Drosophila melanogaster: one gene and its partners. The protein of the gene in region 1 purifies or fractionates together with the protein of each later gene. This does not show direct contact. Each region holds a gene or a part of one and is shown in the gene's direction. Other genes may lie near its edges.

What was found.
Region 2: the proteins of CG8654 (region 1) and Sil1 purify together in Drosophila melanogaster (affinity purification with mass spectrometry, with the first as the bait; one large-scale study listed by BioGRID). This does not show direct contact.
Region 3: the proteins of CG8654 (region 1) and FipoQ purify together in Drosophila melanogaster (affinity purification with mass spectrometry, with the first as the bait; one large-scale study listed by BioGRID). This does not show direct contact.
Region 4: the proteins of CG8654 (region 1) and SPE purify together in Drosophila melanogaster (affinity purification with mass spectrometry, with the first as the bait; one large-scale study listed by BioGRID). This does not show direct contact.

What each region holds. Positions count from the first base shown.
Region 1 is NT_033778.4:19,977,494-19,985,276, forward strand, and holds CG8654 (uncharacterized protein), read left to right. Parts: upstream 1-1,748; 5' UTR 1,749-1,816; intron 1,817-3,046; exon of another isoform or gene 3,047-3,328; intron 3,329-3,383; exon of another isoform or gene 3,384-3,782; intron 3,783-4,616; exon of another isoform or gene 4,617-4,711; intron 4,712-4,804; 5' UTR 4,805-4,815; coding exon 4,816-5,210; intron 5,211-5,412; coding exon 5,413-5,556; intron 5,557-5,618; coding exon 5,619-6,588; 3' UTR 6,589-7,402; downstream 7,403-7,783.
Region 2 is NT_033777.3:25,233,109-25,237,054, reverse strand, and holds Sil1 (Sil1 nucleotide exchange factor), read left to right. Parts: upstream 1-1,525; 5' UTR 1,526-1,657; coding exon 1,658-1,793; intron 1,794-1,856; coding exon 1,857-3,010; 3' UTR 3,011-3,419; downstream 3,420-3,946. UniProt on the Drosophila melanogaster protein: Required for protein translocation and folding in the endoplasmic reticulum (ER). Functions as a nucleotide exchange factor for an ER lumenal chaperone of HSP70 family.
Region 3 is NT_033777.3:29,494,876-29,499,423, forward strand, and holds FipoQ (F-box involved in polyQ pathogenesis), read left to right. Parts: upstream 1-1,665; 5' UTR 1,666-1,802; coding exon 1,803-1,898; intron 1,899-2,124; coding exon 2,125-2,449; intron 2,450-2,511; coding exon 2,512-3,130; intron 3,131-3,188; coding exon 3,189-3,356; intron 3,357-3,424; coding exon 3,425-3,628; intron 3,629-3,687; coding exon 3,688-3,823; 3' UTR 3,824-4,048; downstream 4,049-4,548.
Region 4 is NT_033777.3:23,684,412-23,688,698, forward strand, and holds SPE (Spatzle-Processing enzyme), read left to right. Parts: upstream 1-1,843; 5' UTR 1,844-1,874; coding exon 1,875-1,950; exon of another isoform or gene 1,951-2,126; intron 2,127-2,300; coding exon 2,301-2,693; intron 2,694-2,909; coding exon 2,910-3,219; intron 3,220-3,279; coding exon 3,280-3,703; 3' UTR 3,704-3,736; downstream 3,737-4,287. Other genes in the region: CG18754 (uncharacterized protein), read left to right, coding at 1-294, 770-1,003, 1,069-1,465.

The sequences.
Region 1 (7,783 bases):
GTGGGTGGTGGTTCGCTGAGCGGTATTATGACAGCTGCCCAGCTGACTGACAGGCTGCGGTGAGAACTGCTGTCGGCGGCGGAAATTAAACGCCTCGATTTGCGTGCCCGTCACGCGTAAATCAGGTAACACAAGGCCCGACAAGGCTGCTGGCCATCAAATTCATTAGAACCGATACCTACATATGTACCTTGAAAAACCAAAAGTTTCTATGAACCCTGAACTAGTAGTCATACTGTTTCTACTTCCATATTTAGTAAGCTGGATAAATGGTTCTTCATAGGTATAAAGCTCATTAACTAAAAATTGTTTAATGGGTAACCTAATACTTTTCCTGAAAGTGATTAGTGTATAAATGACTTAAGTGCGATAAAAACCTGAATTTAATCTGGTCTTAACGAAGTATTCAACCGATTAAGCAGCAACGACCTAGTCGGCCAACAACTAATGATCAGGTCACTCATCAATCTGTGAAGTGTTGGCAGACCGCTCATCATCAACCCCACCAGCTTCTGGGATTAATCCCTAGCCCCGAAACCACCGAAATGGGCAGCCGCATTGGATGAGCCGTCCGCTGATTTATGTGACACACATTAGGACGACCGGCTAGTTCGTCCAGTGTAAATTGAAAGGGGCCCGGCAACGAAACTGCAACATATCGCCGCGTTTTATGATGCTTCGAAATTAACAATTTTAGCTGCCCGCAGCGGCAGCCGCATTCCATGTTAATGCACTTTATCGCCCCCGGCCAGGCGAAATTACTCAAAAAATGGCGCACAAATTGCAAACAGGGCGCGCATAAATTAATCGAAGCCTAGGCTAGCGAAATTAAAACATTAATCTGCGCACCCGACCAAGCAGCACAATAATTAATGCTGGCTAAAATTTATTAATTTATTTATAAAGCCAAAAAGGGCGGCTGAAAAGGCACTGAATAAGAGGTGCGAATCGTGGTCCGAATGCGAGTCCTACGGATCCTCGAAAGAAAACGAGAACGGGAATGGGAATGGGAATGATGGAAGTGCCCAAGTGCCGTCCGACAATAAAAACCAAAGACATCTTCAAATGGCCCGGGATGAAGTGGACAGCCATGAGGCAGCTTCCTTGGCTCTGCTGGACAGTGCGCAGTTTTTAAAAATGTCAGTACGCCCTCTAGGGACAGATTAGCGATTAATCTACGGGGCATGGTCACATGGACGCCCTTCGGACAACAGACTGCGGACTGCGGTCCTCCTCGTTGCTGGGAGGACGAGGTAACGATTAAAAAATCTCCACATAAAAGACTGAGCACTTAATCAAAGAGGATTTAGAGAAGAACTAAGGGGCGATTACAGAGGACGGACGGGGTAAAAAGCCAAGGCAACCAGAGCCAAAACCGTTGATGCGGCTCTTTGTTTCTAGCTGCTTCTTCTCACAACGCATACCCTGCAATCTCAGACTGGGCATTTCAGCAATCTAAGCTAATAAAGTAAAGAAGATGATATAATAGTGTACGATACAAAAAGTGTACGAGTATCCATATTATTAATCATATGGTGTGGCATACTTTTATAATTCTAATGAATGAAACACGTACTTTCATTACTTTCAAACACTTTGATGCATTTTCCCTTCACTCAGGTAGCTAATTGCAGTGAGACAGACAGGCAGATGCTCGATAAGTAAACAGGCAGGTTAAGGTGTGTTTCTGCTTCAAGGGTGGTTTGGCAATTTTTCCATTTATAAAGTAAGGTGAGTATATTGATTTTTCGCAGTTGGAAGCGAACACTTGGCAGGTGTGAAGTGCTGATCCAGAAAGGAGCTAGTCTTGGCACAGGTAAGTTTTCCGCTTGAAATTTCTCTACCTTGTTATTAGAAGTCTTAAAATTCACTAAATATTTATCTATTTCGTTTCTGAGATAATCATTGGAGAGCATCTCCCAGTCGCCATGCTCTCGCATTAATCGCCTTACTTGGATTTTAACTACATATTACAAGCACTTTTATTTCGCTAAGCGTTGCTCATAGTTTTCGGTGCGCTTTTTCATTGCCATGCAGCATCCAGCTCCACCTCCAACTCCACCTCGATCCCCTCGTGAAAGACCTTAAATAGTGGCAAAGACATCTCACAGACTTGGCGCGCTGCATTTGTCAATTTACTACGAGCTGAAAGGGGCGTGGCCGCGCATAAAAATGATATATGTGAGCGCTGAGTTAGCAATTTTCGTATGAATTGGCAGAGTTGCAGTTGCTGCTGATTCTGCTGCTGCCGTTCGCTTTATGAATTTCTTTATGGCCAACCTATAAAATATTTTGATTGCACCATGGTGTGTTCGGATGAGGGGGCAGTTTGAAATTAAATGCCTGCCGCTTGATTTGCTCGCTGGACCTCAAGTGGATTCCTCGCAATCCTCGTCCACTCGACCACTGTCCACTTCAGTTCAGTTCAGCTCGGACCTGGCCTGTTCGGACCTAGCCCGTTCGGCAATTATGGAAGAAAAACCGCAAAGCGCTCCAAAGCCGGCCCAAAACATTTGTTGGCCTTGCCAAGTGCTTCTCTGTGCAGCGCCAGAAATTTGGCATTTCCCCTGTAATCCTTTTGTGTGCTAATTGGAGCGTTGCCGGGCCATATATATATCCCCTGGAAAATATCTGGCCCAAACAGTCCGCTTGCCGGCCCATTCGGGGCACTGAAATCGGCTTAGAACACTTGTCAGCCCACCAAATGTAAATATTAAACGGGGCCATTTAAATGGATTTAGTTTCGCAAATACACAGTATATCGGCTGGGCCTTGAAATTTTAGTTTCAGATTTAAATAAATAAATAAATAATATTAATAAAGGGTATAGTAAATATTTGGTGGAATTCTCAACTTCAAAATAGCATGTGACTCATACAAAATATACAACACATCGTTAATATATACTATATTAATACATTACTGAACTGGTAGCTCTTAACATCAATACATCTTTTAAAAATTAGTCACGTGTAATTAAAATGTGTCTTTTTAGGATAATTTATTACCTTAACATATTAATAAGTTGATTTGCACAAATCAAAAGTTTGTATCTACAGGAAACGTTTAGGAACTAAAAATATTACTAAAATTATACTCAATTATCGTCTTGCCAAATAAGTCAACAATGCGACTCGCTTTATTGATATTTGGACTTTCAATATCATGGGTAAACCAAACATTTTGGAGTTTGATAAACGCGTGCTAAACTGATGAACACTGCGTGATTATGTTTGGATTTCATTGTGATCAGCTATCGGATTCACGGCGAGACATCTCTATTAATTTATACAAAACATCATCTATTTTGGAATACAGGAGCTATAAGGTAGGCTAAGCTGAATGTGTGCTCAACTGATTATATGATTAACATTTGCCCAAAGGCTTTCTGCAGGTAAACAATATATACGTGTTATCTCGCACAAGTTGGCCAGAAGTTCAGGGCATTTGGCATTATTTGTCATATTCGCGACGCTTGTCGAACGCCTCTTATCATCTGGGATTAAAGTACACACGACTTTATCGCCATCTCAGTTGCTTTTCTCATCCGGCGAGACAAGATGAGATTTTTCTGCCATTGATAGTAGAGCGTCGAAGCCCACCAGACGTAGTTCAAAAAGTGCGAGATTGCGAACAGAGTATTATCAATCAACTTGCTGAGTTATATAACTCGGGCGGTAGACAAGCCCCCGAAAAGTTCCGATTACTTAATATAAATAGAATTGGTTTCGACCTACTTATAACTGTTTTTGTTTTGATTGCCATTTAAATCGGCTCTTTAGGTAAGTGCTTTTTGCCTCACATATATAAATGAGGTAAAATATGTTAATCGCAATTGAAATGAGCAGGACAACATTCAAATGCCATGAATGCAGACAATGGCATTGCTTTAAACATTGGGCATTTGTTTAGTTCCCAAGTGAGCGCTTTGTGTCTTGCCAGATTTAGCATGTGGCGATCGTATTATAACGCTGCGTTTTGTCATTCATTGGCCAGCCAATTTGCATATATAATTTATTTGCAATTGTTGTGACATTTTGCCAGCCACTGACGATTGCGCCAAATGCCTTCGCCAGACAGGTTGTCGTTGCCGTGGGAACTTGTGGCGGAATCTCCGACCAGAAATCTCAGACCTTCGTCTCTCTCTCCGGTTCAACTTTCACTGAGGCAGTGCTTCCTTAATTAAGCCATCTTAATGGGTAACTGGGGCTCGTTCGGTTATCTGCGGGCAGACAATGGCTTAATCTGCCAGCTAGATCCCAGCATCATCGGGCCGGGTCCCCGGGCGCACCTTCCTTCAATTAACCAGGCAGCCAACTTCATTTACCTACTTAAAGAGTAAAAGTTTAGCGTCTTAGCCCCAGTCTCTTGGCCTTTTGGGCTGACAAACTGCAGCGGCGCATGGAGGCCGTACTCCTATTTCTATTTTCAAATGCCATTTTGGCGGTGGATCCAAGCGGCCAAGTGCTAATGCCCCCAGCCCCGCCGATTGCTATGTCTTTGAGCTCCAACTTGTCACGCTGCCACAGACTGGAGCTCTCTCTCCGCGAAAACCGGTTCTCTGGTGGCCGGTCGCAAACGAAATCTCCATCTGCCCGGGTTCCATATTTCACGCCAGTCTGCACTGAGCCGCACCGGTCGATATGTCCAATTTGCTCTGAGGCCGGCAAATATTTGAGAAAGTCCACCCACTAAGAAACCAGTCGGCTTGGTAGGCCACTGCACTGAAAAAAACAAATTTAGAATATTTTACAAACACTCAAAATATACACTTTTTTTTTGACTGACAGCCAAAAATCATTAGTTTTCAGCAACATGGCCGATCGACCGCAGGATCCAAAGGCTCCAAAGCCACTGAAACCCGTCACCAAGACAGGTGATCCGATAATTTCGCAGATCGGCGACTTCCGGCGCTACCAGTTATTCTTTTTCTTCATCGTTCTACTGTGCAAATTTGGCACGGGATGGCACACCCTCGGCCACATATTCCTCGCAGCACCAACGCCGTTATCCTGCAAGACAGAGAACGTCACGGATCCCTGCAGTGACGAATGCTCCGAGACCGAGTTCGACACTAGCGTCTTCCAATCCACCATCATAACCGAGTGGAATCTCACCTGCGAAAGCAAACAGCTGGCTAGCTTGTCCCAAAGTATCGTCATGCTGGGCATTTTGTTCGGGAGTATTCTGTTTGGCATGTTCGCTGATCGGTGAGTATCTCAAGATTATTAATAAGTTTTCTTATGCTAAAAGAAACCTGAAAGCAAGTCGGTAAAATAGAGCCTTTGCTGGCTTACTAGTTAAACCACTAGATTAACTGGTGGACCATTAGCGAACACCTATTTATTAGTTTTAAAACAATTTTTCTGTTTTTGAGTTAGTCCGCCTACTATAGAATTTTTCAATTCCCAGGTATGGACGACGCCCTGCCTTCCTGACGTGCTGCTTCATGCAGCTGATCACTGGCCTCATCGTCTGCGTATCCCCCTACTACTGGTTCTATTGCCTCTTTAGGTTCCTGGTGGCTGTGGCCACGGCGGGAACGATGACCACCAGGTGGGTGTAAAGGCACTACCAAGGATATTCCCAGTAATATAAATGACTAATCCCATCCGCAGTTTCGTCTTGCTGATGGAAATCGTGGGACCCAAAAAGCGCGAAATGGTAGCCATTCTCTACCAAATCCCCTTTAACATCGGCCACGCCTCCCTGGCCCTGTTTGCCTACTTTATTCGAGAATGGCGCTGGTTCCAGTTCAGCATCACCATTTTCTCTATCGTGTTCGTGATCTACATTTGGCTGGTTCCCGAGTCGCCACGCTGGCTCTTTACCACCGGCAAGCTGGACAAGTCCATAAAGATTCTGGAGAAGATCGCCAAGTGTAATAAGGCTCCGACGGAAACGATTCGGCCGGAGATCGAAGCTGCCTATGGGGCACTGGCAGCCCGCCAGCCGGTCAAAAAAGGCACCGTCGTGGATCTATTCCGGACACCCTATATGCGGATAAAGACCATATTCATGGCAAACAATTGGCTAGTGGTTTGCATGGTCTACTACGGCACCGCTCAGTATGTCTCCGCGCTGGGCGGCAACATCTTCATCAGCAATGCAATCGCCGCCGGAGTGGGCATTCCAGGCACATGCCTCTGTGCGCTCATGACCAAGTACCTCGGACGCAAGAAGACCCTGCTTCTTTCCAATGGATGCAGTGCTTTGGGCTTAATCCTATTGGCATGCCTTTCTACTCAGGCAGAGGCTGTGCGTGTGACCTGCGCCACAATTGGACTTTTTGGCGCATCAATCACCTTTCCGAATGTCTACTTGTACGGCGGAGAGCTCTTTCCCACGGTTGTGCGTTCCAGTGGGGTTGGTCTCTGCTCGATGGTCGGTCGAATAGGTTCCATTGTTGCTCCGCTCATCGTCGATCTGGCTGCATACGGTCTGTGGGTGGCGCCCCTGATCTTTGGAATTTTCTCCATTCTGGCAATGCTCGGCACAATTTTCTTGCCGGAGACACGTGGAACTCCACTGCCGGAAACCCTGGAGGACGGAGAGACATTCGGGCGTAAAAAGAAGGACCAGGCATAGGGCTTTTCTCCCAGTGTTGCATCGGTGTAGCAAGGCGAGAATTTAAAATTTTCGAGCCCAGCAAAACTCCTAATGCCTGGGCTCTAAAATTATTAAATTTCGACTTAAGTTGAGATTTATACGATGCGATATGTCAGTCACCGAAAAGCTAAACTGCCGTTCGTGCCGCAAACAAAAGGCGAAAAGCAAAAAAAAATTGAAAAATCTAGCGAATGCAAAAGGTAATTACCGCGGAGTAACTTCCACTTCGTGATTATTAAAACTGGGTTAGCAGTCTGAATCCAGTCTCAATCGTAGCTGTTCTCCAACTGCCTTAATGTCGAGGTGCAAAGCAGCCAAATAGCTAACTGGAAAACCAGCCAAGTGACTGTGAATGCAAACTTCGCATGTGAACCCAATCGATAGCAGCTAAGACCAATGAAATTATATAGTAGAATTCAAGTAGAAGTGGAAACTGTTTCTCCGGATCGAAGTGCATCTCATAAAGTTTCTGTGGGCAAACACGAGGCTTTCAATCTGAGATATTTGTATCAGCTGTCGCTATAAGTCCCGAGAAATCTGTACCATCAAGGTCGTATGAAACATTTATTCGGTTGTTACGTTAATAGTTTAAGAGCCATGCAATGTAATTTTGAATCGAATAAATTGCATTTTAGCATTTCATTTAATAAAACAACTCTGCAGAATCGATTACACACATCAACGCGAATGACATTCACCGCGTTTCCATTAGGTCGACTCCAGTCGATGCCCATGGCAATTATCGGCAACCATCTCATCACACCATCTCCGCATCCACATCCTCTGGCATCGCGATGGGATGAGATGACCTTGGCCAGGCAAAAACCGGCTGGGGCACCACTCAAGGTTAATATTCATTGTCAACATTGGGTACGCCTCATTTGTATGCGGCTCTTGGCTCGGATCCTCGCTCCTCATTCAACATCCCTTTTCCACGAAGAAAAAATAGGTGAAAATGTACTTGGTTATATTAGAAAAAAAAAAAATAGTTGATTATAAAAAGTTAAATGCTAGTCAAATTTGAACATTAAAGAAATCATTGATGTAGGATAATTTGACTTTATTTAAAATGATTTTATTTTAAAAACTTGAAGAGTTGATGTTTCGAACACCTATTTTGATTTCTTTAATATTTTCTGTACGAAATTTGTTTCCGTGCATCTAGCAATCAGTC
Region 2 (3,946 bases), on another chromosome or scaffold:
TTCAAACTCCGTGAAATGGAATCCGCGCTTTGTTCACACTTTTAATAAAGTGCAAATATCAATTCGTACTTATTGGCTTATGATATTATTCATCCCATATTTGCTTTGAGATCAGCACTTGGAATTGGGAACCTACCTCTGGGGGAATTCCTAAGTGTGCTAAATGGCCAGGCAATCTGAAAGGGAATGATAATGAATAGGTCATGGTTAAGGATCCACGATAAAAATCACTTAAGTTATGAAATTGTATTCCGACCAGAAGGAAGAATGCATCCCAAGGCTCCCAACTATGAAATTTCCGTTTTGGACATATGTACGAAGATAAATCTTTTTGTGGCCAACACAACTCAATTCCGACATAAACCAATTAGACATAGTCGGGCATTTTGGACGACATCAAACAGGTTCCAACGGCATCGATAATCGATAATGGATGGATCGACGGATAAAAGTTGCTCGGCGAGGTGGCTTCACTTTCAAAACTATTGGACAGGCGACGTTCGGAACGGGCCGAGTGAATTTAATTTGGCAAATTCTAGTTAAAGGCTCCTGGCGTTCGTCATCAGCAATTAGCATATACTACATATATACATATGTATATGTATATTTGGTGTGTGATTGGCATGAAACCGGCATTCTGTTTATTTACCCATCCAATTGGCGCCAGGTGAGTCCAAATATTTCACTTTTGTCCACTTTGATGTGTTTGCGCAGCCAATTCCTAGACGCTGTCGTAGACATCGAGATTACAACGGATTTTCGGGGGCGAAATATGGTAATATATGCAAACACGCTTTTATTTTATTACGTCGGGCTTGCCTGCAAATAATTTGGCATTTCAATTTTGAGTTGGTTGATTCATCTGCGCGTAAACATGATTTCGTTTTTCTTTGTAAACTCAGTAAATACGTTTAGTTTATAACTAGTTTAGCTACGTTGTAACGAAGTGGAAAGCTTATGAATGGCGGTTACTTTTCAATTTTTAATGAATTCACGATGAGTTTGGGAATTTTTGGTGGCATTCTGGTTTGATGTGGTTTAATCGTTCTGAATGGCATTAACTTTTTCTGGTTCTTAAATATTAATTTCAAGTCTGGAAATTTCTAGCAATGCTTGTTTTTCACAACAAACTAAGGTTTAAAAATATTAATATTTGTGTTCGTTAGGGATAAAAATTAATTTGTTAGCGAAATAATGTTTGAAATCATTTAAAGTTTCCAACTATTCCGGACTAAGAGCAAAAATTAACCATAAAAATTTTTACTTAATTTTTGTATTACTTATTTATATAAGATTTGGCTTGGAATGTCCAACAGCACAATCTAATAAATATAAAGAAAGATTATAAAGCATACATATAGTTTACACTTTTTCAATACTTTAATATATTCTATTGTTTATAACGAATTTATTGATTACAAATATTTTCAAATTTGAAATTGAATTGTAACCGCCTTTGACTGGTTCCGAATCGACTGGCTCTCCACGGAACATATCGCCACATGCGGTATAATCAATGCAGCTCCCTACGGTCATACTATTAACCACATCCACATCAGAAGTCTGAAATCTGATTTAAAAACTCTCACGAAACTTACTTAAAACCAGGTGAAATAAAGACTGAATACATTCTGGAGGCAAGACAAGCTGAAGCAGTATGAGTGGCAAGCAGGTAGTCATCCTTCTGGGCAGTGTCCTGATCCTGGGATGCTTACAAGTGGCAGCGGCAACGGAAACGGATAACAAAACCAACGATTTCGTGGCCACCGACGAATGGCAGACGATTGCGGAAGGTTAATGGCTAGCCAGGCTAACTCTCGGATGACGTGTACTAAGTGAGCACTCTATATTTCCAGGTCAAGCTATTCCAAGGGGCCTGCACGTGCGCATCAACCTACAAACGGGGCTCAAGGAAGCCAAACTCTTAGACGAAAGCGAACGTGGCACGTCGCTGCAGAGTCAACCGGATGATCAGAATGCTCGGGAATCTCACGATGACAACGAACCCCTGGCTCTGGACTATAAACCGGACATAATCGAGGAGTCTATACGGCGGGTCAAGGAGCAGAAGAAGAGCTATGCCGAGCTACGCAAAGCGTACAAAGAGTTCCAGAAGAACTTTCGCACCGACGGAGAACTGATCGTCCAGTTAATCGATCAGTTTCGGAACTTCAGCAGAACGCCGCTAGAGTCAGAGATGCGCTCCAAGCTGGACTGCCTGGAAAATCTGGAGTATTTGCTCCATCAGATAGACAATGCCTTGATGTTCATTGATAATGGGGGATTGGATGATGTACTACTGCCCATTGTTGTGAACGATACCAGTACATCCCTGAGAGTGTCGGCCATGCGTGTGTTGGGCTCGCTGGCGAGCAACAATCCCAAGGCCCAGATCAAGGTGTTCGAAAAGAATTTCGGGTCTCATCTGGCTCAGATTCTGACCAGTTCCGGAAATGTCGGTGAGATCTCCGCTGCATTGCACGCCTTTGGAGCCTTGTTGCGGAAATTTCCGCTAGCCCAGCAGCGAGTGCTTTCCACCTCGGGTACACAGGCTCTGATCAAGGTGCTCCAGAGTCCGGATGTGGAGCTGCGGAGCAAGGCGAAGGTAGTGACTCTCATAAGCGACCTAGTGCTGGAGAAGCGGTCAGTGCTGGATGTCAGCAAAGATGATCCCGAAGCCTCATCCACAATGGCGCAATATGTGCTCTTGGACTTCGAGTCGTGGCTGAAAACGCCGGGCTACTGCGCGGCGGTGGACACTGTGCTAACCAAGGAGTTCCTGCTCCTCCTAGAGCAACCGGAGGTGGTGGAACAGTTTGCCACCGCATTGGAGACCACCGAAGATATGTGCACCAGCACGTGGTCGCAAAGTTCCGGTCTCAGGCATGCACTATTAACCGTTCGCAATCGGTATGCCAACAGCACGGACGAGTACCGACTGGAGGTGTCCCAGATTTTGGCCAAACTGTGCGAGAGATTGTTCAACAAGCCCAAGCACACCGAACTGTAATCCTAGCCAATTTACTATGTTATTTATGTTAATTTCATTTAATTGTAAGCTGAGTTGGAATGAAATTCGCAGCCAAACCATAGAATACGATAGCTAAGATGCCAAGTACTTGTGATGCAAAAATAATGCTCTTTGTCATTAACTTAGGATAGCAATCAATCATGCCAAACATCTACAGGATTTTCGTTATCAAATATAGTCTCTTACTTAAGATTATTTTAAGTGTGATTTTTTTTTAATAGGCAGACGATTCACCAACGAGCACATCAAAATAATTATGTTGTTACACGTCATTAAACTAGCAAAAATTTGTATGCTACAGAATTGTTCTCCAAACAGATTATGAATCCTTAAAGCCTTAAGTTCTTGTTTATTGTAGCTACAATAATAAAGCAATGACCTAATGTTTAATTTAGAAATTCTTTCTTAAATCAGTTGACTTCTTTTCAGTGGCATATTCTTAAAATGTAGTGCTAAATTATGAAAGGAAATGTATTTTCAATCAAGAAATCGCATTAGGAGATTGGATATTCCACCCCTATAGAACTACAGACCCATTTAAAGCCCGATAAGGCGAGCATAATCGACCGGGCCATAAAGTAAGTCAAAAGTGTCGGAAGGAAAGCAAAAACGCCGAGGAAAGCATGTCCCAAAAAACCACTTGAAGTTTGAATGTGAGCCAAACGAAGCCACAAGAACAGGGAAAACCTGGCACGGAACTGTACAGGAGGAGAAAGGACATCGGAGCAGGAGAGTGCAATTATGTGCCGGCAAAGTTGGAAGTTGGAGTCGAAGTCCAGCGCGGGAATTACAGCAATTAGCGGCAGTCACATGCAAATGCAATGTCACTGGGGCTGAGTCACGACGGTGGATGGTCGGATAGGTGGAGTGGTAAAGGTGAAGCAGCGCCTGGAAGGGAGCCGGCTAGGACGCCGC
Region 3 (4,548 bases), on another chromosome or scaffold:
CGATTTGCCAGTAATTTGCAACAGAATAAGTGAATTTGCCAAGTGAATTTCCCTAGTTTTTTTTTTCAACTTGCAACGAAAGTGCTAAAGTTACGAAACTGCACTTTCCACGTTGCACTTGCAACCCCAACAGTTTTTTCCACCAGATCCACCAGCTGAGGGAAAACTATTAATAAACCGGGCGAAGGATGAAACAAATTCAGATGTGACGCCCATCCTCGTCGAAAATCAAAAGTCGCAAGTGAACAATGTGTGTGTGTTCACTGAGTTTGCATAATTGTGAATTTGCTATTTTAATCGCCTGCGGGCATCAATTAATTAATTAATTAAAAGCTTTCCTTCTCGCACTCGTTTATTTGCGGAAAGTGTCTAACAATTTCGTTTGATCAACTAATCAAATGGGTAAATAACATAGTAAAAACGAAGTTTTAACTAACTGCTTTCGCTTGCTTACTTAATATACTTATACTTTCCAGAACTAATAGACTACTGAATATAGATTTCCTATTAATTTGCTTCAAAATGTGGTAATTTAATTAGCTTAGCTGCTTGTAAACTAATAATTTCTAAATAACAATTAGTTTGAAATGCTCAGAATTCAGTGTGACTAATTGGGAAAGCCTTGCAGAAATAGTTTAGCTCATGAATGAATGTATCTCATGCGAGTATAGCCGGCACATCTCCTCCCTTAGTTAGATACATAGATACATAGATACATAGATAGAAGCGGACGGATCCAGCAAGACCATACATACATACATATTGTACAGCTGAGACAGCGAACACCTTCAGCTTTCCGGCTGATCCCAATCCAAATCGCGAACTAGAGCGCAGTGCCCACCATGGATAATTGGAATGTTTTGGCAGCGCAAACCTCCTCGCAGGCCATCGGACTCCACGACTCTGGCGTGGTGAAGACCCGACTGGTGAGTACCCTGTACATAGAACATACACATGTGCAGATAGATATACATATTAGATGTAGTAAACAAAACAAAGCCAGACAGACGAACGATGGCGTATATATAGAATTCTTGGCAACAAACATTGTGCACTGAGAAAGTAAAAGGGGTTCGAAATCTATTATTACTATTAAATATATATATGCAAAAGCAGGCTGTGCGGAAATGTATCTTAAAGTAGGCGCTAAAGGATAAAGCTCAGAAGGTTATTCCTCGGGAAACAGAAGCATTTTCAGATGCATCTTAAAGTATCTAAGAAGTAGAAATATCTTAAGATGAATCCATAGGTTATCCGAACCTACAAAAGGTAGATACTATCAGCAATATCAGATACTTTTAGATATAAGTAAAATATAGTAAAATATCTCGAGATACTTTTATACAGCTTACTAATGATTTTGAATCTGACGAGGAAAGGAAGAGATTTGGCAGGGATTTTATCAGCATGTTTCTCCACGTGCACCGCTGGGTGAGTGGTGCTGGTGGTTCTAGTGGTTCTATTTGTTCTTAAAGAGTGCGTGAGTGGTGTGGTGCGTCGCCCGTGAACAGCACAGCTGATGCATCCGAAAGTAGAGTGATTGAGTGATGCGATGTGGCAGTGCTCTCGTTACTGGCGCTGGTCTATAAATAAGCCTAGGGTTCTCTTGAGTCTACTACTGCCTGGCGGATCTTTGGAGATTCCGATGGCACGTCGATGGGAATGCGGCTCGCAGTAGCGCGAAAGTAGCTCGATACGACGGATATTCTCGCCTCGCAGGCAGAGCACGCGTAGTTTGCCCCGTGTGTAGCTATATTTTTTTTTTATATAAGCAAGTGGTTCCGAATCATCCACACCCAGCCATGGATATATCCACCGATATCTGGGGTCAGCTGGCCGTGGAGGCATCGCAGGTCTACCTCTCCGACGGCACAGTTCGCAGTCCCTTCGCCGATACGGTACGATGGGTTTGGGATATTACTTAGGGATCCCACTCATTTGGGAGAGCCAGTCTGTGGCGTAAGAGAGAGTATCTATAGATTCACTCACCCGTAGAATATATAGCACCACATTCGCACTCAACTATTCCGAACTGTCGTTTAGATTTACATTTAGAGATCATATTTGAATCACTTATGTAGTACCATAGGATATACCACTATATATCGTGACTCTCATCCACAGACCATTGAGAAGCTGCCGGACAAGGTGCTGCTGCACATCTTCTCGTATCTGTCGCACCGCGAGATCTGCCGCCTGGCCAGGATTTGCCGACGATGGCGGCAGATTGCATACGACACGCGGCTGTGGAAGAACGTGAGCCTGCGACCGGAGGTCTCCGGACTGCACGTGGGCTCGCTGGAGATGCTGCTGCAGCTGATCTCGGTGAGATTCGGACCGACTCTGCGCTACATCGAGCTGCCCATCGAGCTGATCACGCACACGGTGCTCCACGAACTGTCCGCCAAGTGCCCCAATTTGACCCACATGCTGCTGGACTTCTCCACAGGTGGGTGCGCCACGTCGCCGATCGTCCGTCTTAAACTCTAGAGTGTCCTGTGTACTTCTTAGCCATGCAGCTGCACGACTTCAGCGAGATGCAGGCCTTTCCCACCAAGCTGCGCTACATGTGCGTCTGCCTCTCGGAGGTGATCTTCATGGAGGGCTTCATGCGCAAAATCTACAACTTCATCAACGGCCTGGAGGTGCTGCATCTAATTGGCACGTACGAGAAGTGCGAGGAGGAGGAGGAGGAGATCTACGAGGTGATCAACGTGCACAAGCTCAAGTCGGCCACGCCCAATTTGCGTGTGATCAACCTGTACGGCATCAACTTCATCGATGACTCGCACATCGACGCCTTCAGCTCGAACTGCATCCAGCTGGAGTGCCTGGCCGTCAACTTCTGCAACAAAGTGACCGGCTCCACCCTGAAGACCCTGATCCAGCGTTCCAAGCGCCTCACCTGCCTGCTCATGAACGGCACCAGCCTGAAGTCGGAGTTCGTCATGCAGGCCGAGTGGGACAAGTGCGCCCTGCAGGAGCTGGACATCACGGCCACCGATCTTTCGACCGAATGCCTCGTGGACATGCTGAGCAGGATCCCCAGCCTCAAGTTCCTCTCAGCCGGCCAGATCAATGGCTTCAACGACAGCGTTCTCAAGCAGTGGATGGAATCGGGCACCACCAGGTGAGCGGAGACAGTACCTACCCGTCTGTGTAAGCACTCCGATAGCAGTATGATTTAGGTCGCTCATTTCCCTGGACTTGGACTCCTCGGACAACATCTCGGATGAGGGCCTGCTTAAGTTTATACAGCGCCAGGGTCATCAGCTGAGCGCCTGCTGTCTCTCGGGCATGCCCCACATCACCGACCAGCTGTGGATGAGCATCCTGCCCCTGCTGGGCAACTGCAAGTAGGCGACACTATTGGTCATCGAATGAAAAGACATTTTATTATGAGCTGAACTTTCTTAACCTGCAGGATCATTGTTATGGGCACCGCAGAGAAGCTGGGCGTCAACATCCACGTGGACCAGCTGATGGACACCATCGCCTCGAATTGCGGCAACTTGGAGCGGCTGGAGCTGCGCTGGGATCCGGACAACCTGCGCTTCTCCGACAAGAGCCAGAAGGCCATCGATATTCTGCGCGTCAAGTGCCTCAAGCTGCGCTGCATGGTGCTCAGGTGGGTCTACATCAGACTCCTATTTCTATGCGGGATTAACATCAATATTTCGCTTCCAGCGATGGTCGCTACTATGAGACGGTCAAGGCCAACTTTGAGCGTGCCGATCGCATCACCGTGGTGCGCACCACCACCTGCTGCCGTGTGTCTCCCTATCACCTGCTCCGCAACTACAACGATTTGATTTTCAACTGAGCCTCTGAGGTTCAGAGCTGAAAGCCAAGAGAGGATTGGTAGCTTGCACTTACCCGGTTGCAGAGCTCTGGATGGGATTTACCCACAACAGGGCCGGAGGAGAAGCAATGTTTCTGTGTGTTTTCGCTTACAATAAGAGTGTTTTAATGTTTTCTGTATTTTCCGCTTCTTTCGTTTAATTACTTTAAATCTAAATAAACGTACATAGGTAATTTAAATAAAAACAAAACAAGGATTTGCTTATACAAGTTATTTTTACATTACAAAATTATACAACGCAACTTTTCGCCTTGCTCTCGTTTTTAAATCATTTTTTTTTTTTTTTTAATCATTTCAATCCGCGTTGATTCGTGTTTTGTTTTTAACTAGATTTACTTGGTAACTTGATTAAATCATTTTCAGACTTCACCACATAAAATGTTTATCGTTTTTGCGTTTTAGCGTTTTGCTGATGATTTTTACACTGCTTTCATCCATTGCAAACTTAATGCTAATTTAATTTTTTTTTTGTGTGTGTATGTTTCAACATTTTTGAATCGACTTTTTACCATAAACTTAACGTACATATGTAGATCATCTCCGTTTGAATTATCGTCTCATTGCCGATCAGCGTTCAGCTATTATATGCATGGTATATAATTTAGTTAAGCATAGCTGCGTGAGTTATACATACGTAATGTCTGTGCCTATGACGATATAGGATCGAAGGTGGGTGCTGTGGTCGA
Region 4 (4,287 bases), on another chromosome or scaffold:
GAAATGCACCAGACTGGTTAGCTGCTCGCCGCTTATGAACATCCTTAGGCCCCGGGGCATGACCCAGGCGGAGAAAGATGTGTTTGCACACAGGCAGTGTGGCCTGGACCCCAATGGACACGAGTTGTTGCACATGGTTTATGTCTGCTGCCCAGAGTTGGGTGACGTCTTGCCCAACAAACAGACCTGTGGACAAACGACGCCCGTGTTCCGAGATCGGGGTGCCGAGAATGCAGAGCTTAATGAGTACCCTTGGATGGTATTGCTGTTATATGAGAATCGGCTATCCTTGATGTGGAATCAACGAACTGGTTGTGCGGGCTCACTGATCAACAGTCGCTGTTCACACATGAACACGAATATATTTAAAGACTTACAATTTTGGGCTCCGTTCATATCTTATGTAAATGAATCGAGAGCGATAAATTATATTTAGGATTTTGTTATCTAAGGCGACATGGGTGCATTGCTCAAAAACATGTAATTTAAGTGCACACTACATGAGTCAGTCACTTGAGATCTTTCCCCGCCTCCTAAAATAGTCCCTTAGTGGGAGACCACAGATAAGGTCCTCGCCGCTCAAGATAGGCAGATGTGCCCGAGCGTGGGACCTCGATAAGGCGGGGACTATTTACTTAGGCCTCTGCGTAGGCCATTTACTTTAAGATGCGATTCTCATGTCACCTATTTAAACCGAAGATATTTCCAAATAAAATTAGTTTCTTACAAAAACTCAACGAGTAAAGTCTTCTCATTTGGGATTTTACAGTCGCTATGTGCTGACCGCTGCCCACTGCGTGATCGGTGGTTACTTGACGCAGAATGACCTGGTTCTGAAGAGTGTGCGCCTGGGCGAGTCCACTACCGACTGCATCACCTCGGAAAGCAGGTGTCCACATTTGGATGTGGAGGTGGGGCAAACAACAGTACATCAGGGTTTCACTTCGAGTGGCGGAACTTACCGCAACGACATCGCCCTCCTCCGATTGCAATTCCCAGTGCGGTGAGTAGCAGTGATCTCCACCCTAATCTCCACATCTTATGGAAATTTCTTTACAAACCCGCTAGATACACGAAAAAGATCCAACCCATTTGTCTATTGGACGCCGAATTTCCCCTACAGGATTTGAATTTGCAAATCTCTGGCTGGGATCCGACTAAAAGCAGTCAAACGTTGATCACCAGCACGGTCAAGGAAAGGAATCCTGCTGATTGCTTGAATAGGTATCCCAGCTTTCGCTCCGCGTCCCAAGTATGCGCCGGTGGTCAACGGAAAGGGGACACCTGTGCGGGCATCTCCGGCAGTCCGGTAATGGGCATCATGGGAAGCGGCGTCGACGAGTTCGTCTTTTTGGCAGGCATTGCCTCATATGGACAACAATATTGCTACTCTGCTGGTATTCCAGGTGTTTACACAAAAATTGGCCACTTTTCGGAGTGGATCAAAGCGAATTTGGCTCCCTAATTTTAATAAAGAATTCATATTTGCAAAATTGGAATAGCATCTGTTCCATTAATCCACTACTATAAAGTAATAGACCTATAAAACCCCAAAAGATAAGAAAAAGCACTGAAGATTGTTTTTTAAAAAACGTGTTGTTCAAAAAACATAACGTGCCGAGAGAAGATTAAGCATAAATAAATTTCTAATAACTACACCGCTGGGTTTGCCCAGCTCAGCAGAACTACTATGTAAATATTAAGGCAGGGAAAGACCACCCTATTCACATAGCTTTTGCCTTTGTTGCAATCTAGATGGTATTGAGTCCGGAGATAACCTCTGCTAATCACGCCCAATGCATCGGGAGAGAATCGGTGACAGCGAAACTGCCGGACAGCTTGGTTAGTATCAGCTTGGAGCCCATAGCGACGAGATGGCTTCTACGGAACGGAATTTTCTGCTACTGTCACTGGTGGTCAGCGCATTATCCGGCTTGGTCCATCGATCAGGTGGGTAAGCTGTCCTTTGGGCAAACAATATCCACAGCAACTGGATGCAATGGTGCTTCTTTCAAAAGTATATAGTTCTATATATATAGTATAGTATAGTATATAGTTTGAATAAAGCTAGAAAAACTAAGCACTTGACCTTGTTGATTGTGAGAATAAAAACCATAACAACTAATAATCAAAGAGTTTTTGAAAACTTCAAATATATTAAATATCAACATATAGTTTCCCGGACTAAGAAATTTTATGAGAAATATTAGACATGAAGTCCATTAGTAGAATGGATTGCCTTTAATGGATTGGTTCAGAACCGGTTAGACTGCATCGTAAATCGCGCTCTTCTCTTCCAGACGCAGCGGAGATCAGCTTTGGCAGTTGTACGCCCCAGCAGAGCGATGAGCGCGGCCAGTGCGTTCACATCACCAGCTGCCCCTACCTGGCCAACCTGCTGATGGTGGAGCCAAAGACTCCCGCCCAGCGAATCCTTCTCTCCAAGAGCCAGTGTGGCCTGGACAACAGGGTTGAGGGCTTGGTGAATCGAATCCTGGTCTGCTGTCCGCAGAGCATGCGGGGCAATATCATGGACTCGGAACCAACTCCTTCGACGAGGGATGCACTGCAGCAGGGGGATGTGCTGCCTGGAAATGACGTCTGCGGCTTCCTTTTCGCTGATCGCATTTTCGGGGGCACCAATACGACCCTCTGGGAATTCCCATGGATGGTATTGCTGCAGTACAAAAAACGTGAGTAGATTACCTACCCAGGCTCTATTTTAATCTCTTATAGGAAGGTTGTTTCACGAGGTCACCTGTAATCATTTTTTAATCACTTTTTCAAATCAAATTCTCCAATGGGGGGATCATCATTATAAGAAAACGCATATTCAATATATACAAGGCTATTATTAGTATCTAATCAATTTATAATATGTACTTGGGAAACGCTCTTTATCCTTTCAGTTTTTTCTGAAACCTACACTTTCAACTGCGGCGGTGCATTGCTCAACTCGCGCTACGTCCTGACCGCTGGACACTGCCTGGCCAGCCGAGAACTGGACAAATCCGGTGCCGTTCTACACAGCGTTCGCCTGGGGGAGTGGGACACTCGTACCGATCCTGACTGCACCACCCAGATGAACGGACAGCGCATCTGTGCACCGAAACACATCGACATTGAGGTCGAGAAGGGCATCATCCACGAGATGTATGCTCCCAATTCCGTTGATCAGCGTAATGACATTGCGTTGGTGCGCCTTAAGAGGATTGTTAGGTATGTGGTCCAGAGATCCCTCAATTATTCCACTGACTTGCTTTTTTGTTTTTGCCACAGCTACACCGACTACGTGCGTCCAATATGCCTTCCCACGGATGGTTTAGTCCAAAACAACTTTGTGGACTACGGCATGGATGTGGCCGGCTGGGGACTTACCGAGAACATGCAGCCAAGTGCGATCAAGCTGAAGATCACCGTCAACGTTTGGAACCTAACGAGTTGTCAGGAAAAGTACTCCAGCTTCAAGGTGAAACTGGACGATTCTCAGATGTGTGCCGGCGGCCAGTTGGGCGTGGATACATGCGGTGGCGATTCCGGCGGTCCCCTTATGGTGCCTATATCCACGGGCGGCCGGGATGTCTTCTACATTGCCGGCGTCACCTCCTACGGGACGAAGCCCTGCGGCCTCAAGGGATGGCCCGGCGTCTATACCCGCACGGGGGCTTTCATCGATTGGATAAAGCAGAAATTGGAGCCATGATGAATACATACTTAAATACATGATAACCATGTGAAAAGCGCGATGTAGATATTGGGGTTTAATCAATTCACATGAGATCGGCACTGTCAAGTTTTGCGAGCACAACCGGTTGTAATAATATCGAACCACTTTTCTGTCAATCTGTGATCAGCAAAGTCTGGTAGTAGCTTGCCCACGTAATTTCCCATATTCTAATGGAAAAGTAGAGGAAAATCTCTGGAACTCATTTATCTCTGTTGCAATAGCCATCTCACTTGTCAATCTAGACGGCAGATGTGCCGGAGAGCTTGGTCAGTATCGGATTGGGTTCTGGGGTATCGAGATGGCTTCCATGGAATGGAATTTTCTACTATTGCTAATGGTCATCTGCGCATTTTCCGAGTGGGTCCAACATTCAGATGGGATGCCATAAACGACAACGATTTCACCTGGATCCGCTTAAAATTTTGAAATATATCCACACACGAGGTGGAGAAGGGCATTGTACATGACCAATAGTTGCCTAATTCCGTAGACCAGCAGAATGACATTGCTTTGGTTTTGAAAAGGAGTGGCATTGAAAAGGAGTGGCGGGTGTGTGGGAT